Linked DNA regions of Ovis aries. The protein of the gene in region 2 purifies or fractionates together with the protein of the main gene of each other region. This does not show direct contact. Links are inferred from orthologs where the notes say so. Each region holds a gene or a part of one and is shown on either strand. Other genes may lie near its edges.

The links.
Region 1: the proteins of BRD8 (region 2) and H2AZ1 purify together in Homo sapiens (affinity purification with mass spectrometry; 4 studies listed by BioGRID and IntAct, with this or other methods). This does not show direct contact. The link is inferred for Ovis aries from reciprocal best matches to the Homo sapiens genes BRD8 and H2AZ1.

What each region holds. Positions count from the first base shown.
Region 1 is NC_056059.1:25,068,195-25,071,750, reverse strand, and holds H2AZ1 (histone H2A.Z), read right to left. Parts: upstream 2,810-3,556; 5' UTR 2,706-2,809; coding exon 2,703-2,705; intron 2,260-2,702; coding exon 2,182-2,259; intron 1,901-2,181; coding exon 1,787-1,900; intron 1,436-1,786; coding exon 1,306-1,435; intron 1,058-1,305; coding exon 996-1,057; 3' UTR 625-995; downstream 1-624. UniProt on the Homo sapiens protein: Variant histone H2A which replaces conventional H2A in a subset of nucleosomes. Nucleosomes wrap and compact DNA into chromatin, limiting DNA accessibility to the cellular machineries which require DNA as a template.
Region 2 is NC_056058.1:47,270,555-47,274,302, forward strand, and holds the start of BRD8 (bromodomain-containing protein 8), read right to left. Parts: upstream 2,754-3,748; 5' UTR 2,745-2,753; coding exon 2,726-2,744; intron 1,553-2,725; coding exon 1,456-1,552; intron 1-1,455. UniProt on the Homo sapiens protein: May act as a coactivator during transcriptional activation by hormone-activated nuclear receptors (NR). Isoform 2 stimulates transcriptional activation by AR/DHTR, ESR1/NR3A1, RXRA/NR2B1 and THRB/ERBA2.

The sequences.
Region 1 (3,556 bases), on a different chromosome or scaffold from region 2:
AAGTTGCCAGAAAGTGTCAAAATGATCCACTTAACCTAATTACAAAGTAACTACTTTCACACGTTGTTCACTAAAGATATTGTCTGCCATAGCAGCAAACATGGTAACTCAGGACTTTAAAAAATCTTGATTCTCTGTTAAATGTGAATAGTATGTTCCCCAAAGATGTTACCATATACTGAACAATTTAATGCAAGTAAACTTCAAAAGAGCGTGTAGCACACTGCAAACATTATCAGTCTAAACTGAAAAGTTTAGACTGTGTAGGCAGCTGCATATAGGACCTTCCTACCTGGCCTCTGCTCCCCAACCCCACCCAAGTCCCCACAGTGCGCTGGTGTAGTGCTTGCTGCTATCACAAACAGCAAACAAAGCTGATGAACTCAGATGGTTAAACTTAGCCTAAAAAACATCAACTTGTGCTGAAGTTTTAAAATCTTTTAATAGTTCATTACAATGTATTTAAAAAAAAAAAACTTGGGCCTTTTAACTTTGTTGATCTACAGACAGAATTAACAGTAATTTCAAGGGAAGAAATGTGCTTAAGTTATTGCTAGCTAAGATACCTATTCAAAACAAAGCTGTTCCTACTATAATCAAGCAAATTTTATACACAACTAGTTTGGGATATGACCTTTATTGAGCTTATCCACCAGAGTGGAAATAATGTCTGTACAAAACCAAATGTTTGTTACTATAACTTCTGCATCACAATTAAAATCCAAACAGTTTTTTAAAAACAGTCAACTCAATCAAAACCCACTACTTCAGAATCAATAGCTTCTTTGAAGCCACAGTAACACTTAAATATGGTTAAGACTCAAATGCAGAAATTTGGTTGGTTGGAAAGCTAATTAAACTTCCAACTTTCTCAAATAGAATTACAAAAAGGCAAAATTGTGTTTTTCACAGAGATACAGTCCACTGGAATCACCAACACTGGACAGCTGTTAGAGTATTTAGAGTCCTGAGATAATAAGGAATCCAGGCATCCTTTAGACAGTCTTCTGTTGTCCTTTCTTTCCAATCAGAGATTTGTGGATGTGTGGAATGACACCTAGAAAAGGGATAAAATAACATACTACTTTAAAACCAAGAGTTTAATGTTCAACTTGGAAGATGTCTTTCAATGTAAGCGCAGAGTAAAAATTCAGAAGTACGTAAGAGAAATCAAATTTCATGATGCAACCATACTACAGATCAATGAAAATATACTGTGTCCTCTTTTAGACTGAAAATTACTAGAGGGAAATTTAAAAGCAAATTCTTTTCTCTAGAGAAATTTATAAGTTAATATTTACATACCACCACCAGCAATTGTAGCCTTGATGAGAGAGTCCAATTCTTCATCTCCACGAATAGCAAGTTGCAAATGACGAGGGGTAATACGCTTTACCTTCAAGTCTTTCGATGCATTTCCTGCCAATTCAAGTACCTAGAAGGCAAAATGCGATCAATCTCCTTCCAACTTTCATTAACGTCAAGATCCAGACAAGAATCAAACCTTCATGATGAAGGTATATCTACCAACTGTCATCTCCCCCACTACCTGAATGGCAAGATAAGCAAAAGCCATAAAGAGGGCACGCAATTTTATTTCCTAAGGCCGCAAAGTCAAGCTCAGGAGGATCCCCATCATGATCACCAGCCCCCTCTAGCGTTGTCGGAAGCTTCTCGCTGCGTACAGAGCCTGGGAGTTTTCTTGCATCACTTTCCTCCTTCCCTCTCGCCGCCTCCCCCCACCCCCTCCCAACCTTTTCCAGATTATAGGCGTACACCCATTTACCTCTGCGGTGAGGTACTCCAGGATGGCTGCGCTGTACACAGCGGCAGTCGCGCCCACACGTCCATGGCTAGTCGTCCTAGATTTGAGGTGTCGATGAATACGGCCCACTGGGAACTTCGTTTTTAGCATACACAAACATAAATGCACAAAGATAGACGAGCCAAAGATAATTAATTATACGCGCGCCAAAGGCAGGGTCATGGACGCCGGTGCAGCAACGCGCCCCACCACAGACACACGTGATCGCCCCCCCCCGATATTTATTGCATCGGTAAACCAAGTCGCGACACTATCACCCACGCAAAGACGAAACGCTCATCTAGAGCGATGATAAACAAGAGAGGAAAAGGAAAGAAAAACGCCACGATTCCCAGAATGCACGAACAACCACTGACCTGCAAACCGGCTCTCTGCGAGCGGGAAACCGCCTTTGTCTTGGCCTTTCCGGAGTCCTTCCCAGCCTTACCGCCAGCCTGCGGCGCGCACACGCCCGCGAGCGAAGGAGGAACGCAGAATATAGGATTACCAGAGCAGCGCGCCCTTCCCCCACCGCGCCGCGGCTCGGGCGCGAGCGCGGCCCCGTGCCCAGCCGGGGTCTCCGGCCCGCGGCGCGCCGCAAGGGCGACCCCGCCCGCCCGTCCCCCGCCGCGCGCTCGGCGCGGCCGCGCGCCTCGGTCCGCCTGCTCGCCGCCCGCCGGCCCCCAGCGGCGCTGCGCGCGCCACCCAACCGTCACCGCCCGCCGCGAGATCCGAGGCTGCTCCGCTCGCCGCCGACAAAACACCTCCCCTTGCTCTTCCAAATCCTGTCTCCGCGCGTTCCCAACCGTCGCCGCTTCACCCCCATCTCCGTGTGTAACGGGTTTTTCTCCCGCCGGCAAAAACCCGCGGAGTCTTCGAGCGTCTCCACCAAGTTTACCATTTCGAATTCTGCTGAAGCTCAAACAAGCAAAGCAGAGAAAGGACTAGTCAGACACCCAGCGAGAACCAGCCGCCTACTCCTTCGTCGCACCGCGATTCAAACTGCGCTGTCTCCCGCCTTCCCCGCTCCCTTTATACTGCAGAATGTTCCCTCATCCGGGAACTCGGATTGCTCATCCCACCAATGGCTGCCCCCCGCCCTCGGGACGCGTCCTTGAAGCTTCAGCCAATGAGAAAGCGAAGAAAAGGGCGGAGGGGCGGGCGCTTCACAGCTCGAATCCCTATTGGAGCATGCGGAAGGAGGGGGGGAGGGCGGAGGGATTGGAACTGGGGAGAAGAAGGGCACAGCGGCGGGAGGGAAGAAACAGAGCGAGCTATGCTGCGGGAGCTAGGCGAGCCCCCCCCAACCCCGCCCCGGCTGTGGTCACGTGTCCGAGAGGCGGAGTTGAGAGGCTCAGGGGAGGGGCACGCAGTATCGCGCACCCTACCATCACCCGTTCGCCTTCGTCTCCTAGCCTGATTCCAGAGACCACGTGAAGTCTCCGCGGGGTCTAGCGCGCCCCACTTCCTGCCCTCCCCTTCCAAATGAGCGCCTCGAAGGCAGAGACCCAGCAGTCCACAGCCTTCTCCCGAGGCCCGGGGTACTCTTTTCCCTGGTACCCTCAGCATCGCCCAGCTTTTTCAGTCTGACAGGTGGCGCGAACGCGTCCGGTGAGAGGAGCCCCAATTCCTTCCCTGACCACAGTCTTGATAGTGATTTCAGTCTTCTAACCCCCCTGGGCGAGTCTCGAGCCACCGACTGATCATGATCCACTGCTCCCACGTCATTTTCAGTTCTAACTCCCTCGTCTT
Region 2 (3,748 bases):
TACATGTGATCAGTAATGGTGCTTTCATAAACTCATTTGAATGGTTAAAGTAGTAGAGATAAACCCTACAAATGCAAATTTGTTTATTAAGTAATTTTAACACTTAAGACAACTAAAAGGTAACTTTAGATACGGAGAGAAAAAAAAAAGTCGGGGGCGGGGAGACCAAATGTTAAAAATGAGACTATGTCCTGGTAGAAAAAAAGATTGGAAAACACACACAGTCCTACTTTCTGGTACTTAAAAGAAACACAAATTAAAACCACAATACAATACCATTTCACACTCAGCAGTATAGCTATAATCAAAAAGACTAAATGTTTGCCAAGCATGCAGAAAAACTGGGTCCCTCATTTATTGCTGGTGGGAATGTAAAACGGTGAGGCCACTTTTTAGTTTGAAAGCAGTTCCTCAAAAAGATAAATATGAGTTATAATATGATCCATTGAGAGTCCCTTGGACTGAAAGGAAATCAAACCAGTCCACCCTAAAGGAAATCAGTCCTGAATATTCACTGGAAGGACTGATGTTGAAACTGAAACTCCAATATTTTGGCCACCTGATTTGAAGAGCTGACTCATTTGAAAAGACCTGATGCTGGGAAAGATTGAAGGCGGGAGAAGGGGACAACAGAGGATGAGATGGTTGGATGGTATCACCAACTCAATGGACATGAGTCTGAGTAAACTCCAGGAATTGGTAATGGACAGGGAAGCCTGGCGTGCTGCAGTCCATGGGGTAGCAGAGTTGGACACGACTGAGTGACTGAACTCAACTATGATCCAGCAATTCCACTCTTTCAAGAGAAATGAAAACATGCCTGCACAAAAGCTTGTACACAAATGTTCACAGCGGCATTAATATTCAGCAAAGTAAAAACCACTCAAATGTTCATCAACAAATGAACAAAATGTGGTAAACCCATACAAGGAACTACAATTTCATCAAAACAAAGAATAAAGTACTGATGCATACTCCAGCATGAACCCTGAAAGCATTATGCTAAGCCCCAGAGTACCACAAAGTATATGATTCCATCTATATGAAATGATCAGAATAAGCTATAGAGAGACAGAAAGTAGATGAGTGTTTGGTGAGGGAGGCGGAAATATTAGAGAGGCGAAGAGATTTGCAGAGTGATTCCTTAAGGGTAAGAGGTTTCTTTCAAGTGTATTTAAAATGTAAAATTAGACTCTAGCATTGGTCCTATGTAAATTATGTGAATTTAATAAATTAAATATTAATAAGTTTTAATAATTTTAATAAATTAAGTTAAATCCTGTGAATATACTGGGAATTCTGTGAATATAATTTTGTGATATGTAATTGCATCTCAAGAAGGCTGTTAACTACTGCTTAAACGTTAACTACTGGAATCCACCGGTACTTACATGAAGGGGAAAAAAAAAAAACGGTTTCTAATACCCAAGGAAGCAGATATCCTAAATACCTTACCAATTTTGATCTCCACTCCTCATGACAGAAGACGCTAAACACAGCTTCTCTCGGATGGACCATGGCTCTGTAGGGCCAGTACTCAGCAGCTTATGTTCTGAAAGATTTAGAGACAACCACTGAGGCACTAAGTCCCAAAGGGAGGATTAAAAGTCTAATACAAAAATGTCCTAACCTGTAAGGACAAAGTGAGCCACTATCACCAAATCTTGATTTTCACCTCTCTAGTAAACACCACCACTAGGATGGTGCCTATTCATTGCTTGAGAACTGCACTTGATTATCTGGCAAAACATTTTTCTGTAAATGCCATGGTTACTCTACCATATTTAAAAAAAAAAAAGTCAAGTTAATTTAGGGCAGTTCTTCCAAAAAACCCAGTTTTAAGAATGCTTTATTCCAGGAACTTCCCTGGTGGTCCAGTGGTTAAGTCTGTGCCTTTTCCCTAGAGGGGACGTGGGTCCCATGATCCTGCCAACCACCAACCTCCCAGCTCTGCCCTGGCCAAAAAAAAAAGAATGCTTTATTCCAAAGTGGACCCCAGGCCTTATTTCCCAGGATTCCGAGCGGCCAACCCCCGCTACTGCCCCGCCTCCTTCTTAGCATAAACTTGTTTACTTCTCTCAGTTACACCCATTCCCCTCAAGCTGTTAGGCCTACAAGACCTTCTCAGTCCCTGAAACAGAGGGAAATGGCTGAGATACAGGAAATGTATTTTTTCCCTAGTGGCAGAAAAAGCTCACGATTAACATGTCCCATCTCTCTGTGAGTACAGGCCTCACAAATGTTCGTCAGAAAATGACTCTTTGGGACCCCGGCCACTCCATATGGCTCACAGCATCTCTGTCCGCACGCCGGAGCCTCTAAGGCACCTTTTTTCCCTCTCACCCCGCAGAGCTGACAAACATACAAGAATTTTCTTAGGCTGCTTTTCTCAAAGCTCCGTGGCCTTGCACACCACAACTAGAGAGGAGCACTCCTCGCGGCAACTAGAGAACAGTCCACGGAAAGCGACGAAGACCCAGCGCAGCCAATAAATAAAAATTCTAAAAGCAAAAAAACTCCGCGGCCTTACTTAAGTGTAAGACTTCACGCTTCTGGGCCCTCAACCCCCAACCGCTGGCCTTAACAGCGCCGCTCGAGCCCAAGTCTCTGATGGCTCTGGGCTCTCAGGTGAATCACTGCTTCTACTCCCTAAGAGTGTGACAGATCTGTTGCCTGGCCTTGGTTCTACAAACACCTTCCACGCAAGAGCAAGGCAGATACTTACTGCCCGTTCCCGTCGCCATCTTGGCCCCGACGTCTCCAACCCCCGAAGGAAGATTTCTGGCCGAATTGAAGCCCAAGGAATTCTGGGAGATAGCGTTCCAGCGTTTATTCGCGGTGCGTCCTGGGAAATGTAGTCCCCTCTCCCCACCCTAGGATGAACCAGCGCCCCAAATCAGGTATTCTTGTGAGTTCCTGAGAAGGAATGTGCGAAAGAACAGAGAATGGTGGCTGAAGCCTTAGGATTTCCTTCAGGCTTCTTAGAAAAGAAATGCCTAGGGTTCAAGAAAAACTGATAAACAGAAGTTCCAGTTGACCCAGCTCCAAAATCCAACAGTTGGTAACCCGTCCCACATTTGAGCAGAGAGGTCAAGCCTAAGAAAACCGTTTCCGGGTTTCGCCCGCCCCCTTGCACTGATTGGTAGGTGCAAGGTTCGCTATCTGATTGGCCGAACGAACTCAGCGCGCAATTTAAAACATTGTATCAGAAACAAAGGTGCGCTTCGTGGGTGGGGTTGTCCTCTCAAGCTGCCGAAAGCCCAGTTTCGGCTGTGGGGTGTGAGTGAGCCGGTCCCGTAGAAGTGTGGCGTCTTTAGGTAAGTGTGCGGCTGAACTTGAGTCAAGTTGGGGCACCTTTGCTCTGGCGGATTAGGCATTCAGAAAGCGGAACTGCCGCCATTTCTGTTTTTCTTAATAATTCTGTCCTCACCGTGGGCCTAGAAGCGAGGTATAGAGAATGAGCCTAGGGCTTCTGACACGGCTGAGGGAGGCTCCCTACTTGGAACTTGGCCTTATGTTTTCGGAGTTAGATATCTGTTCATTCCTGTTCGCGGTCCGAAATGCTGCCTCAGATTGGATTAAATGATTAACTCTTTCTCTCTTTCCCGTTTGCTGGTAGTCGAAAGGAGAAGGGAGTAGGAATTCAGGCAGCGAGACTAGGTTGCCCTGGGGCAAGGGAATTGTTTCTTACCTAGAAAAGAGGGCGAATTCTTCAGCCCCTTTTATCCCTTAAGGTTCTCCTCCCTAC